3 linked regions of the Schizosaccharomyces pombe genome follow. The gene in region 3 interacts genetically with the main gene of each other region. Each region holds a gene or a part of one and is shown on either strand. Other genes may lie near its edges.

Region 1 (4,743 bases), on a different chromosome or scaffold from region 3:
CGGGAACAGGTAAGAAACACAATCAATGAAAAATATAATGTTTCGGACAATACCAGTTGGGACCGCTTTAATGAATCGATTTTGAACCCCAACATTAAAGGTGCTGGTGAAAAGAAACAGCTCGGTCTTTTTTATCCACAAAGGGAGATTTTACCCGCAGTTGGACCGGGTACGTGGAGATTTGCAATCCAAGGCACCGAGTTGTATCAGGTGGATAAAGATGAAGAATCATGGGATTATCCAGATGAGGATGCTTCTGCCATAGTTGAAAGTCAAAATCTTGATATCCGCATGCGGATTACTCCTTTGCTAACTGGTATACCACAACCTGATCGTGTTTATGTTGTAGGAGGAGCTAGTCGTAACGAGGCTATTGTGTTTAAAATTAGCCAGGTTTTGGGATGTGATGTTTATCGGCTAAAACACGGCGGTAGTAATGCCTGTGCTGTTGGCGTAAGTGAACGGAAAATGTTGTTAATTAATAGTTACTGACCATCAATTTAGGGCGCTATCAAGGCTGCATATGCAATGAATGGAAAAGGATTTACCTTTGAAGAATATGTAAACAAATCTTGGGATGAGTCCAAGAAAATTGAACTAATCATGAATAAACCATCCGCCCAAACTTATGAAGAATATGGAAAGCTTTTACCTTTCCTCAAAAAGGCTGAAGACATTGCGATTCAACAGTCAGATATCCGGCATTGAATTGATTAAATGCTTTTCCATTTCGCACTTGATTATGTGATTAGCTATTGATATAACGAGATTATTAATGAAAGCGAAATCCACTTTTTTTTTTAAAAAATATGAATAAACCTTAGGATACAAAATGATAAACGTTTCCTACATGAACATTTTTTTGAGCTATCGTTTTGAGAGCTTTGAATCACGAGTCTAAATTAAGACAAATAAATATGTAACATAAAGTAGTCATACACCATATTATTAAACAAATTTTTGCATACGCTTTTACATATAAGTAACACAATTTAAGCAGGAAAAAGCGTTTAAACATAAACAAATATAAAAAGGCTTGAGTAACAAAGACAATTTTTAAAAACATACACAAGTTATTTATTTACAAAGGAGTGTAGGGTTGCTGTAAGGTTAGTAGATAGAATGCAATATTTTAAGGTACATTTTCTTTTCAAGTAATGAAGTACCATGGACGAAAAGGGAAATTGCAAAAAAATAATTAGAATAGAATAGAAATCGTCAGCTAGAGAAGTGCAAAGTAATAAAGCGGTAGTTGGAAATACATTAATACGAATATGGGATAGAAATATTACACGAAAGAAAAACATAAAAATTAAAAGAGTGCATAGGGAAAATTAGAGTCGTTATTGATCCAAAAATGATTCCCAACGCTCAATAATTTCTTTTTGAGATTCAATTGCAGATTCCAACCACGTTTCAACACTAGCTTTGAGATCATCAACTCTACTGGTTGTGAGAGAACTCAAATCTCGTTTTAACAGAGTTGTTGATTCCGAAAACTCTTTTTCCAGATCAGCAGCTTTTGCTCGATATTTTTCGTATTGTTCTTCCAAGTAAGGGAGTGATTTTTGCTGAGATTTCGCTTGCTTTTTACATTTCTCAAGTTGAGTTTTAGCACGAGAAACAGCTTGAACTGAAGATTGCCATGTCTGCCACAACTTTTGACGTGTAGTAAAGGCATTTTTGGCACTCTCCACGTACCGAATGTACTCCTCCAATGTAGTGCCCAGTGTCAAATTGTCTTGAGCAACCTTACGTTCTTGTACAAATCGAAGCTCTACCTGGAGTTGGGAAAGACCATCAAACTTGGATGATAAGGTGGGCTCTAAATCAACTAAAGATAAATTTCCAACAGCCTCGCCAAAATCATGGATGGCTGAAGCGAACTGTATGCGTTGATCTATGGATAAAAGAAGCGCGTGATAAACCGACTTTAGTTGAGTTTCCAACGAATCAAGTGTATCCTTTGCTTCAATTAAAATTGGATCCTGTTCGGAAAATTTAGAAGATCCAGAGGTATGGAAGGCGGAGGTGAATGAGTCAAGTAAACCAGATGTTGAGGGACCTGAGCGCAAAGGACTTGATGAACTCTCAATGAGAGTAGTACGATGTGTCATTCTAGGGTCAAATGTCTCTGCTTCAAGAAACAACTTAAATGAGTAATCATCACGTAGAACCGGATGGGCAGATATTTTGCGAAGCATTACCTCCAAGGCTGCTCGTCGCTGTTCAATAAATTCATCATCAAAACGGCCTACAACCTGCTTTTCCGGGATGGGAGGAATGATACAACCCGGATGATTATTAGAAAGCAATTGATAAAGAAAAGCAAAATCATTATATCGTCTTTGTACAGTCACATTGCTAACAGAAGGTTGATTGTGTTCCTCTAAACGAGTGGAAACCGAATATACGGTATGCGATTTAGTGATTTCCTTAACGGTATGAGGGTCATGAACTTGGATGTAAAACGGGGTAAGAGATTGAGGTGCCGCTGCCGGGTGCGCCTTCTGATTCTCCGTATCTGTTAATGAGGTTGAACCTTGCTTCTGGGAGGAGGCAGATGAGACAGTGTGTGTAAAATTTGGAGCAGAAGATGAGGCAGCGTCTAAAGTATCTACCGTCTGTTCTGAATTTGGTATAGTGGGATTTTCCGTTGCTCCGATAGGAGAAGGGGAAAAGGAGTTCACTTCTGAGATCCAAGGCTTATTTGCAGAAAAATCTGCATTCAAAGCGGGACTAGATCCTTTTAACGGATTAATTTTTGTATTTAAACCAACTTCCAAACGGTTGTTTTCGGGTGCCATAGAAGGTGCATCAGAAAATTGCAAGGGACCTAAAGGTGCAGAATCCAAAGTTAACGTTTCAAACGGAAGAGATTTCAAATTGACGCTTCGTTTCCTAGGAGATGTATAGATATGAGTTTTTGGTGGAGAAGCTTGAACATTCGGCGACTCTTCTTCCACTCCTTCAGCTGAGGGCTCTTGGTCGGTTTTTGGAGGGTTCAGTGGAGAAACGGAATCTGCGAATGGATTAAATGCATCGTCTTCTTCATATATATTATGCCCAAGCATGATGGTGGCCGGTTGGGTTTTTGGATCTGATCACTGAAATCGTGCCTGAAATGGTGATGCGCAGCCCAACGACGACTAGCGAAAAATAACGATGGTTAAATACGTTTAGCAATGCGGGGTGACTTGCGGTGCAACTAGATAAGTGTCAACAATTCAAGTTTCTAATTCCTTTTAAGGCTACATTAAATTATATTTAGCTTGTAGAAGCAGTATATTGCGTTATACAGTATTGTGAGTGGTGGGTGATAATATATTTATCATTGTAACAGCTAATAACTGGACTGAGAATGATGCTCTGTTCAATCTAGACTTCTAATTTTAACTACTATTTTATATCAATATCAATGGATGTTTTAGTAAACAAACATATAGTCTTCTGCTATTGTTCAACAAATTGAGATTAATTGGTATTCCATGTAGTGTATTTTGATGCGTAACGTAATGTTTAATAGCGATTTTAGTGTAGCTCACTGTCTTGTAAGCTACGCAGTTTGGTATCTGATTTAAGGATACGTAGAACTGCGGTGAGTTTTCCTTGTGATCTATTATATTACAATACACAGGTTGTATAAGTAGCAACTGAGTATAGGTATTGTATTAACTGGGTTATAATGTTACCTATCACTAATATAGCTCATAACTGAACTGAGGAACGAGGTTCAGCAGTAGCTCTATTTATAGTATTCAGATAATATAGATCTTAATAGATTATCATTAAGATCAATCTCCATATCGTATCATACATGGTACGATATATAATTAGAACATGTGACATATAGTGATACGCAACGTAGTGTATTATAGCGTAGTGTAGTATTGCTGACAAGTATGTTAAATAAAGCAGTTGCTTCTAACATCGTTAACTACTTCTCTGCAGATGCAATTCACTCATTGATCCATAAATCGTTCATCTTACTACCAAGTCATGTCCTTGACAGTATGGAATATTGAATCCATCAAAGATGTTGCTGAAATGCTTGGGATTGGCAATCTTGCCGATGAACCAGCAGCAGCTATTGCAATGGATCTCGAATATAGAATTCATCAGGTGGTTCAGGTAGGTTTCGTGAAAGTAGACTATGAGATTTTACTTTCTTTGGAAGAGGCTAAAATAACTAAAAAATTGTTGCTAGTTTTTTACGATGCCTTTCAATTTGCTAGATAGTCTGCTTTATTCTGACATTAAACATAATTCTCTAACAGTATTTGATTTAGGAAGCCACTAAGTTTATGGTTCATTCTAAAAGAACTGTTTTAACTAGCGCAGATATCTCTTCAGCGTTACGGACGTTGAATGTTGAGCCGTTATACGGCTTCAATAATTCTCGTCCATTAGAATTTCATGAAGCCGCTGTAGGTGCAGGCCAAAATTCCCTTTACTACCTTGATGATGAGGAAGTGGATTTTGAAAAAATCATAAACGCTCCTCTCCCTAAAGTCCCTAGAAACATTTCTTACAGTGCACACTGGCTGGCCATCGAAGGTGTGCAGCCAGCCATTCCTCAAAATCCAACTCCCTCAGATCACACAGTTGGAGAATGGGCATCCAAGGGTACTTCAGGGGTTATGCCAGGTGCTTCAACTGCTGCTAAAGAAGCTCGAAACGGTGTCACTTCGATGGACAACGTTGAGATAAAACCGTTGGTGCGACATGTGCTATCCAAAGAGT
Region 2 (7,004 bases), on a different chromosome or scaffold from region 3:
TGCCAGGAATATCGCCATATAAAAAAGCAAAACGTCCCTAGCAACTCCGTATACGAAGAAAAGCGCATGCTTGGACTCGTCATTCTTCGTGGTGAGTTTATTGTTTCTCTTTCCGTTCAAGGACCACCTCCCATGGATCCTTCTATGCGTGGTAGTTTATTGAGTGGGCCGGGTGTCGCCAGACCTGCTGGTCGTGGTATTCCTCTTGGTCAAGCGCCCGTTGGTTTGGCAGGACCTGTGCGAGGAGTTGGATATACTGCTCCTCCACCACCTGCTGGTTTTGGACGTGGTGCCCCTCCCCCGGGTTTTCGTCCTGTTTAGGATGGTTCCGTTTGATTCGTTTTCTTTCACCACAGAGCATCCACTATTCGTTCATTAATAGCACGATCAACATCTGATTTTTGTTTTAGTGCGTTTTTGGTTATTTAAAAAGCTTTATAGTCTGCTTTTACGAATCGGTTGACTTGAACCTCATCGGTACTATTCTCATTCGATAACATCATAGTAGGCGCTTTGCTTTTGTGTATTTGTATAAATTAGTTTTTCCAACTTTCATTTTCTAATCCGAGGTTTTATGAGAGTCTCAGCGAGAATGCTTATGCGACTATCGTGAACTCTGTTTACCAATGCTGTTATGGATTAGGTGATACAGGCATAAATTATCCATAAATGGTCTGCTGTCGTCAGTTTGGTATCATCTACAAAACAGTGTTATCTTTTTTGTTTGGTAGTTCGAATATCAAACAAAACTGTACGAAAGCATTCCTTTAAAAAAATGATATTCAGCTAAGAGTGAATATATACGTTTTACTTAGCTATGTCTATATGACCCTTACTAGATTAGTTTATGATATTTAATGTTAGCAATTTTACTTAAAATAACATATAATATTGCTCATTTATCACCGCTCAATAGCAAGAATAGAACGACAATTCATTATACTAATCAAAGAAGAATAAAAATAAAAGAAGATTATAAAGAAAAAACCCGAGCTTCCAACATAAATTGAATATACAATCATAAAAAACCTGCCCAAAATTAGTTATAAGAAGAACTAGAAAAGAATGAACAAACGAAGGGCTAAAATAGTTATAGAGTATTAAAACTTTTAAAAGAAAGAGTAAATTAACGACATCGTACTAAGACGACTGCCGTACATACGAATATTTGGAGAATCCCTGTGTCTCTAAGCATTAAAACAAGAAATAATTCAATAAAGGAATGAACAGGAAGACGAAAGACAAAGGGATAGTAAAACACGTACAACCATTGAAAGTTTAAGTAAACTAACCGTCTCAAGCGTTGACAATTTGTAGACGTTAAATTCCTAGAAAAATTCGTTATCCTCCCCATTGTCATCACTAACATCAGAGTCGCTTTCGTTTTGTGCTCCGTTCGTTTGTCGTGAAATATCTGTGAAGATATGATCATAGTTAAGGATAAGCATCATAAATATATCCGAAGGGATATTTAAAGTAGGAGAAAACACTATACAAACGTTCCTAATGTTCATTTTGTTAACTTTTTCAAAAGCAATAATCCTACGCAAATGATGTAACAGGGAATCCAAAAGGGCAAAATTTTCAGGAGGGAGTTTGCTAATAACATCGCAAAGTTCTCCAAGGGCCGCAGAATCGTTAGGAACATTAGGTAACAGTTCGAATAATTTATGCATAGAAGTGTCTAAGAGGTTGGTAGGTAAATTTCTCAAATACAACTTTAAAAGTCCAGCAATTACATGCACGTCGAATTCCTCGTCTGACGAAAGCAAGTCGTAATCTACTCCTTCATTAAATTGTTCCTTAAGATGTTTAATTGTCGAGGCAGAACCACTTAACCGATAAATACCTTCCTCTTTCTCGGCTCGGCATGATTCCAAGTATTCAATGCATCTGTAGACAACAATTGGCAAACCGCTGTCATTGAATTGAGTAGAAATATTCACCGCTTCATTAAGAGGAAGACCGAATATTCCAGACTTACGGACAATATGTTTCTGTAATGGCTCAGCACTTGTTGTCGAACTTGGTGAAAGCATTACATTTGTTTCGATCACAGGTATATTCGTATCAGATATTTGTTCGTAATTTTCGGCCTTATGATGCGGAAACGCCCAAAATTTCATTCTCGATCTCTTTTCTTCATTTTGCGAATTCTGAGAATGAGAATCGATCAATAACTCTACAGGAGTAGATTGGTCAGTCTTCTCCAGCGAAGGTCTAGAAGACTGGATTTCTATCACGGGGACGTGCTTTTCAGGAGCATCTTGGTTTCGTCTAGTGTCAGCAATCTCTAAAACACTTCCCGTACTACTGTCGAATGACAACTCAGAAACACGATCACTAATCTCAAACTCTCTATGATTTTCTAAAGGCACCTGCTCCATTGAATCCCTTAATTTAGGACTCATGGTTAAATTTGAAACCAAAGAATCATCGGCATAAGAAGCAACATTTTCTGACGGTGGTAAAACGGGAGATGGAGAGCTGGATATATCCTGACTTAAAATTGCTTCTTGACTTACAGGTCTTGAGTCTGCTTTTCCATAAAAACGGATAGGAGAAGATTGATCACGATAACGAGAAGATCCAGGAAAATCAGAAGATAATACAGAGAAGGGACTAGCATTGAGAGGAGAAGTAGAGCCAGGAACCTGTCGAAGTATGGCTCGCAGCCAACTCTTCTGATCTTCAACATCTCTTGCTAAAAGAACGTGAACAGTTGCAGTTCCCGTTCGCGTTTCCGTTTGTTTTTCCTGAATTACAAAAGCGGATTGATAATTTTCACCAGTTAAAAATTCATGAGGAGGATCAATGATAGAAAATATAGGTAAATTGGCATTATAGCGATTCACCTGCGCATCTTTTAAATGGATTGTACCAAGTACTGGAGAATTTCGATTTTCAGCGAAATATAAAATATTGTCCTTTAAATAAAAATAACGTGAAACTAAACCACTGTTTTCAATGTATTTCAAAAGTACCCCCTCCTTTTGAGCATGCTCAGGAGGAAGAAAGAATACATCATGAAGGTATTCTCGTAAAGTGTCACTTGACAAAAATTCTAGTAACTTGATCCTCTGTTCCAACTTAAGATCAGTTTGAAATATATAACGAAAATAGGTATCGACAGAACGGCGTAACAATTCGTTTTGAATTACTGAAGAGTCATTTGTAAACCAATCAAGAGTAGGGAAAGGAGGTGCGCCGATGTCTAAGACGAAAGAAGTAGCAAAGGAACGACATTCTCCGATGCTCCTTGTGAAACTCCATACTTCATCTTTCCATTGTGAAGCTAAATGTGAACTCGCAGAGACACCGACCACGAATTGCAACCCTATGCAATCAAAATCTGGAGATAAAGAAGCCAAACTGGTTTTCATAAGCTCGAAACGAAGATAACGGACTAATGATTCATCCAACCTAAAGCTCAACTTATTGTTGTACAAAGTATCCAAAGGTAACATAGAACCTTTGGAATTCGACGTGGATTTTTCAACTTGACTTGATGGATGATGGTTATGAGATTTCGACTTGCTAAATGGCGAAATCGGTGAGAAGCTGTTGAGTAACCCTTTAGAAGACAATTTTCCTGGAGATTTTTGGCTAGAATTATCAAGTTTCGATGTTGGTATTTCTGCTAGAATGTCATTATCAAAAGATTGTGAATGATGAGGATCGATGACCGTCCAAGTTCTGTTGGAATCCGACCGGCGACGTGTAAAACATATGTCACTATCAGGTATTTTCAAGGTAGAAAATGAGGACCTTCTTGTATCGGATGAGCCAGTCTTTTGAAGAGACAAAGAATCGTTATCTTCTGAAAGTCCACGAGGAGGTAGGCTAGGTTTGTCATCAGGCCTAGGTGTGGTAGAAGACGAAGAAATTGGCGGAGGTGGAGGACTCTCAGTAGGACGCGCAGGGGTTGAATATGCTGGAACATTTGAGGTTGGAGCCAAGAAATTATTTGCTTCCTTATTTTCAATAATGGGAGAATTCGTTTCACTTCGAGCTTGTAAAAGAACATTTTCGGAAACAACTCGAAAATCAGAATGGAATTTACCTGACTTCGAGCTTAAATTATTAGTAGAATGCTTTGGGGAAGATATACCATGCGGTTTTACAATAGATATACTTTTTCTCCTAGGCGATGATGCATTAGCTCTTCCAACTTTTATGTCCAAGAATTGTTGACGAAGTTCGTCCTCAATTTCAGCAAAATGGTCTTGTTTGTTTGAATTGTTATCTTTAGGATCAATAGAAATATTACTGTCCGAGTTAAATGGAGTTGGCTTTGTAATTGGCCTACGAAAAGAAGATGTATTTAATGACAAAGGTGATAAATTGTCAGAACGGATAGAATCAATTCGTTCAGCTGACTCAGTTGATACCGAATAAGTCTTGATTGCTTTATTTCGGAGGGCCTGTATCCGTTCCTTTTGGCTGTCTTTTAATATTGGAGATGTCACTGGTGAAGATGCACCTGGTTCTTCAGATGAACGGTGCGAGCGTTTCGTATTCAATAAAAGTTTTGGTCTGGTCATATCCGACAATCTGTCTAACGACCTGGCCTTGATATCGGTAGTTTTATTATAATTATTTAAAGCAGATAACGAAACAGAACTAGATTTTTCATGGTCTGAAGAGCTAATGTGAGCAGAAGCAGTAGGTACGTCTTTGGAACTTTTCAAAGAAATCTTGGGAAATAATTTCCCCTTCTCATATGGAGAGCTATAAGAGTCCGATTGAGGAGAATTAGCTCTGGACGGTTGACTAGAAGGAAATGAGTCTGTAGACTCATATTTACTCAGTCGCATGCGTAATGAAGTATTATCCTTTTTTACTTTTTCCAAGTCCTTATGCAGCTCGTATATAATTTCTCTTTGCTTATTCACTAGCTTCATTAATCTCTCATTTTGAGATACAATCCCAGAATTATCCTCTTCTTCTTCATCTTCCCAAATCTCTGAATTCAGCTCAATTTTTGAATACTTCTCCAATTCATTTCCTTCTTTCATTATTTTTTCAAATAGAAACGTAGTTTCTGCATGAAAATAAATGATTTCGGCAGAATATGCGAAAGTGGTGATACGGCAAGTTGTGGGCTCTGACCGCAAGAAAAAACCTGTCGTCCGCACAACATCCATCTTTACCATTTGACGAAGAGAACAAGCAGCTTCGTATTGAGAACCCTCAAATTTTTGATTGAGACTCCTTCAAGCTTTGCTGCCGGTTCTCATACCGAATTTATACTAATAGCCCTTTGACCCGGCAATGGACGGAAGTGACTGTATGTTTAATATTTTTACTTTCGTTACTAACGTTTAGCTTTATTGAAATCTGTTGATGTTTCCAAATTAGACAATGGCTCTACCATTTCATTCCGCGCCCGAGAAGATGGGTTTCTAGAGTCAATATCTAGCTCATCAGGAAAATTGGTGGACATGGTTTTGGTATGATATAAAAGCTAAGAGTATCTGAACATTGAGTAAAATATTAAAATAGACACATTTAATAGTGTCGATTCTTTTGTCAAAAAATAGTTATCACTCTTACATCTATTTATAAGTCCATTCTTTTGAACTGGATAACACAGACTAATGAATGACAATAACTACAAGACAAACAGATATAGTCTATGATTTTATCCAAAAGGAGCAACTGGAGCAAGCCCATTGTGCATTCGTGTTGCTCGAAGATGTTCTTATTTCCATATACGATTTTACTAACTTTGTAAAAATTAGGATTCTACATCAAAAGAGTGCCTCCCTAAGTTTAGTTTTCAAAACAAGCTAGACTTCTACTTTTTATTCAGTGATCGTGTTCTCCAGTTGCAGAAGGAGAGGAAAGTACTTGTACTCATCCATTGCGAATCGCTTCAATCGTTTGATTCTTTTTTTGCTCAGAAGTTGAAATATGCAGACTTAATTTCTTCGGATAATGTACATGAAATTTTTTTACCAGATTCAAATGCGGCCAATATCAGATATCATTGGGAGTGGTCACCTCCTTCGGGTAAACTTCTGGAGTATGAATGCAAAAACTATTCTTGCATAGCCGTTTACTCTACTGAAGACTGTACTCTTGAACGTATCTCAAAATTTAGCTACTACACCGTATCTCGTTGCGGTGATTCTATGGATGATACATTTTTTTCGGAAAGCCAGCGTGTCACGTCGCCGCTAACTACTAGCCAGACGGTACAAACCCAACCTCCTCAATCTCCGGAAGCGAAGACGGAGCTTTCATTGATTAATACCAAGACCGTTATATTCCCAGAGAATTATGAGGATGGACCGTCATTCCGATCTATGTTGCATGAGCTTGAGCAAAAATCATCTCTTATGAAGTATTATTGCAAAAAAATAATGAAACGTATTGTCCAATTAAGTGATGCATACGATGCATCGCAAGTTGCTGTTATGAAATTGTCAGAGACACTTTCGGAAGCTTCTAATAGCACCAGTATGAATATGGACATACTTCTGGACAGTTATTTAACCAAGGCTATGGACATTCATGCCACCTTTATACAAAAACTTAATTATGATTTAATTAATCTTTTATATGAGCCATTTCATAACATTTACTCAAGCTTCATTAAGCCAATTGATGATAGACGACTTGAATTTGATGAACAAAGCAAAAGCTTTTATGGATCTTTGTCGCGTTATCTATCAGCTAAAAAGGACAAAAAGGGAGGAGACTCTAAATTTTTTCAAAAAGAGAAAACGTTTGCCTTACAACGATATGATTACTATTGTTTTATGCAAGACCTTCACGATGGTTCCATTATTAATGATATTAACGGTATTTTTTTGCAGTACTTTCATCGCCAATATGACCATATTGCACTTTTTAGTAATTTGATGAATAGTGTTCTTCCGAATCTTCAGCAACTCAATTTAAAACTTGAAAAAACAAAATGGAGTACAACCAGACGTGACAAGGGCAGAGAGATGCATCGTTCCCAGGTAATTCAAACTAGCGGTCGTCCAAAGTCC
Region 3 (3,910 bases):
CCCTATTTAAAATTTTAATCTGAAAACTAGCATCAGCATCTGAAAATCCAGCTAGCCAATGGTTATTTAAAACACTCAGTTGGAATGTGTTTAAACTTAAATTAATAGTTTTACTAAATTCTTTAAATCTAGGTTGAGCAAATATATTATTAATAATCTGATTATATTTACTAGTAGTTCTAAATTTATTATTAATTAAAGTTATTACTCTTTCAATTCCTTTAGAGTTAGCTATTATAAAAAGAATAGCATTTTTATCTTTAATTTTACGTACAATACCAAAATCAAACATATCAAGGAATATATCGTTAAAACTGAAATTTATGTAATTATGATCTTCAAATTCATTATCTCTTAAAACCTTCACATCACTTAAATATTCAGTTTCGAGTATATTTATTTCTTTAAGTTTTTTATTCCTCATGCCTTCACACAAACCACAAGCAGTGAGAAGGGCCTCTTGAGTCATATGACTATGAAAAGTATCGGCAATTTCCTGTAATACTCTTAAAGATTTTCCTAAATACTCATAGATTCGATAGTATCTATGGATAGCAATACGCAAATAGCATGAAAGGGAACATCCACGATCCCCTACCACGCTTTCCTTTGAGAAACTAACTGCTTGCAGCTTTCAAGAGCTCTGTCGATAACAGAGAAAAGGATGGATACAATTACACAAAAAGGTTTAATTCTTGCAAGAAATAAGTTTCGGTACAAGTGAAAACATACCGTTGCTTTTAGCAATACAAGTGCTGGTGAATGAATGTCACAAAGCTGGTCCAGTCTTTGGAATGCTTGTAAATATACAAATCTTGAATCTTCTGATATTATCTGGTACTCCATTATGATTTTAAATAACAATACAAGCTGATAAGCAGGTCCATCCTCTTCAACCATTTGGGTTGTTATGTTCGTTAACTCTATTCCCCTCGTTCCGTATTCAGCTGCTAAAATCCAATTTAAGGATCTAGCAATCCAAAAATTTTTTTCTCTTGACAAAAAAATCTAATCGTTGTTTTCTTCACCATCCTTGTCATTCTCTACCCGTATTTTACTTATCTCCTGATGAAGTCCTACAATTTCTGCATAGTGCATGGAGACAGAAGAAGCAATCCAGGAGAGGTGAGGACGAGTAGTAGCATGTAAGTAAATTGTTCTTAAAACCCAACAAACTGTAAGTTGAATCGATGATAAAATTGTGGTCGACAGTGAACTCTCCAAAACTTGCGTTATATGCTCTACTAGTTTACCCTCTAAAGACTTGTCCGAATCGGACGAAAAAAAAATCCTAGTATACTTACTGAAATCACGACGTACTCAGAGCAGCTATCAGTTGATTTGTTGTCCCATAAGAATTGGATCTTTTTCTCCATGGCTTTTTGATCAAACATGCTAAATATGGGATGAACTTCTTCAAAATATATAAATACGTACTTTAAGTATTTTTCTTTAGTTATTAGTTCCGTCAACTTTGGAAACACATGGTTTTTTTTTTCACTGCGTATTCCCGCATTTCATGCAAATGAATGCAAACGAGAAAGGTAGTTCATTTTTGGTCCTTCTCCTACTATCCGAGGAAATACTATGGCGCTATTTTCATAAAAAAATCGAAATTTCTTGGGTTCATAGTAAGGAACCATAGCTGTAAAGTTCTCAGCTTCATGATGAATATCCATTCTTGGATTGCATTGTGTAAAACTCAACTTCCCGTCACCATCTTCTTTATTATTGTTAGTATCCGAAACAACCTTTATTCTTTTAGACCTGTAATCACTTCCGATTTTAAAGTTCGCATCATTGAACAAGGATGCCTCGGAATTACAGGTAGAAGTCGCTTGGCCCTCATAAGCACATTGGTACTCATATTTTTTACAATATAGGCAAGGGAGTTGCCCATCACATTTTTGCTTTTTAGAGCGACATATTACGCAGGCCTTTTTTGTACGAACGCCATTTTTTAAACATCGCTCCTTTTAATATAAATTTTTTCAAGGAATTCCTACCTACACATGAAAATTTAGGATAAATCTGCTACAATCAAATAAAAAAGAAGCCTTACTAAGATGCATGTAGTTGTCGTTGAAGTTACTTCATATTAGTAATGACGACTAACCAAACTTTAACGAAAGTAACAATGTATTTAATGATGGGTATTTTTCAAATACTTAATAAATGTGCTCTTATGTATGTTTAGTAAAATGGTTAAGTAATAATAATGTAGACATTTTACTTATTGTTATTAATTTAGATTGCAAATAAATGGCTTAAGAAAACATATGTTTCCAATAGTTAACATTCTTAAACTGATATCAAACTTTTTCTCAAATCAAAATTTCAAATTCAAGCTAATAACTAAGTCTTTAAAATTTATAAGCGTTTTTACTAAACGCACGGATTTTTTTACCAAAACGAAAAAAAGATGAAAGGAATAGGTATCATAGCTATCGAGATAAATCCAAGCACGTTTGTAGCCCAGTGGTCGCCTAGATTTAAATACATAGGGCGTGCAACTAAAGTTATGCCACCGCTCACACTATACCGAATTAAGGTCGATGCAGCCAATGCACTTGGCGCCATATGCTGATAGGAATCAATAATGTAATTATAACAAACATAAAATATAACCAATAGAGAGAACCCAAAAAAAGCACTAGATATGATCCGTACTATCCAGTGGATACGATTGGGATAGCAAGTCCAAGCGAACCAAAACATAGAAATGGGGAATAAAAAACATGCAATAAATAAAGGATAAAGCCTGTCTTCCGGACACGTCAGACCGTTTCTTTTCTTAGTAGTTGTTAAATAATGCCAGTAAACCAATGGGGTACAGGAGCCAGCAACAGCCAGTCCTACCCCAACACCAATAAATGATAATCCTTGTTCTCATTGATTGAAGTCGTATTTGGCATATACGATAGGATATCCCTCAAAATTTATGTAACTGATAACATAAATTACAGTTAAATATAATGTAAAACACACCACAATAGGTTCTGTGAAAATCAGGGAAACCGCCTGAGTAGCAGCTTGAACAATTGCATTTTTTGGATCACGTTCGCGTTTGTGAACTGTGTACCATGCAGAATTACCGGTTGTTTTACGTAAGTGTTTTGCTTTATAGTCAAGGATGGTATCTTCGTGAGGTACTGGAAATGCGAGGAACACAACCACAAGAATAGTAGCAGCCCAAATCATGTTGATCCAAAATGTCCATCTCCATCCTAAATAGCTCTGCGAAATAAAATTGCCAATAATTGGTCCAATTATGGGACCTAAATATGGAAAGGTGCATAGTGCGGGAAGAACATAAGTACGTTGGATCGGTGTGAATATATCACTAATTGTTCCTCCGCAATTTGCTAGAGGCGTACTTCCAAAAAAACCCTGAAGAAACCTGAATATGACTAATGACCAAACATTGCTAGCGCAACCACTACCGATTTGAAAAATAATGAAGACAAGCAGAGTTCCAATGTATACAATAAGTCTTCCGTATATACTGCTTAGTGGAGCAAATGGAATAGAGCCTACACCGAAACCGACCAAGAATGTGCACGTTCGCAGAGTGGTAACTAAAATAGAAGATCCAAATCTTCCGATATTTCAACTGTACCAGTGGAGTAAACACTGGAAGCGAAGGTTACAACTATCGTGATAGTGGAAACCTGAATAACGACCCACCATTTTCTAGTGTATGACCAATTTCGAGGATTTAAAGGGTCATTTAAACCACCCCAAGTAACCAAATATGGAACTTGGATTCTCGTATCTACTTTTGAATCATGTGAAAAATCGCTTTTGTTGTCAGTCGATAGCTTTTCGGTAATCTTTCGATTATTTTCATTCAGAGAAAATGATGGATAAACTTTTTCTTTAGAAGATTTTCGATCTAAATTAGCATAAT

The links.
Region 1: mutations in SPOM_SPBC1348.12 (region 3) and vps5 together harm fitness more than expected from each alone (negative genetic interaction), as found in Schizosaccharomyces pombe (one large-scale study listed by BioGRID).
Region 2: mutations in SPOM_SPBC1348.12 (region 3) and rga2 together harm fitness more than expected from each alone (negative genetic interaction), as found in Schizosaccharomyces pombe (one large-scale study listed by BioGRID).

The regions. Positions count from the first base shown.
Region 1 is NC_003421.2:700,938-705,680, reverse strand, and holds vps5 (retromer complex subunit Vps5), read right to left. Parts: upstream 3,085-4,743; 5' UTR 3,075-3,084; coding exon 1,344-3,074; 3' UTR 863-1,343; downstream 1-862. Other genes in the region: xks1 (xylulose kinase), read left to right, coding at 1-453, 505-708; TATA-binding protein-associated factor TAF6, read left to right, coding at 4,000-4,131, 4,290-4,743. UniProt on the Schizosaccharomyces pombe protein: Required for efficient sporulation target of PtdIns(3)P in vesicle transport required for onset of the forespore membrane formation. Plays a role in vesicular protein sorting.
Region 2 is NC_003424.3:3,347,241-3,354,244, forward strand, and holds rga2 (putative Rho-type GTPase-activating protein Rga2), read right to left. Parts: upstream 5,019-7,004; coding exon 1,329-5,018; 3' UTR 863-1,328; downstream 1-862. Other genes in the region: Sm snRNP core protein Smb1, read left to right, coding at 1-321; cnt6 (centaurin ADOP ribosylation factor GTPase-activating protein), read left to right, coding at 5,275-5,290, 5,329-5,453, 5,745-7,004. UniProt on the Schizosaccharomyces pombe protein: GTPase-activating protein for Rho-type proteins.
Region 3 is NC_003423.3:33,274-37,183, reverse strand, and holds SPOM_SPBC1348.12 (DNA-binding transcription factor), read right to left. Parts: upstream 2,073-3,910; coding exon 2,013-2,072; intron 1,974-2,012; coding exon 1,572-1,973; exon of another isoform or gene 1,537-1,571; intron 1,437-1,536; coding exon 1,301-1,436; intron 1,257-1,300; coding exon 1,059-1,256; intron 951-1,058; coding exon 595-950; downstream 1-594.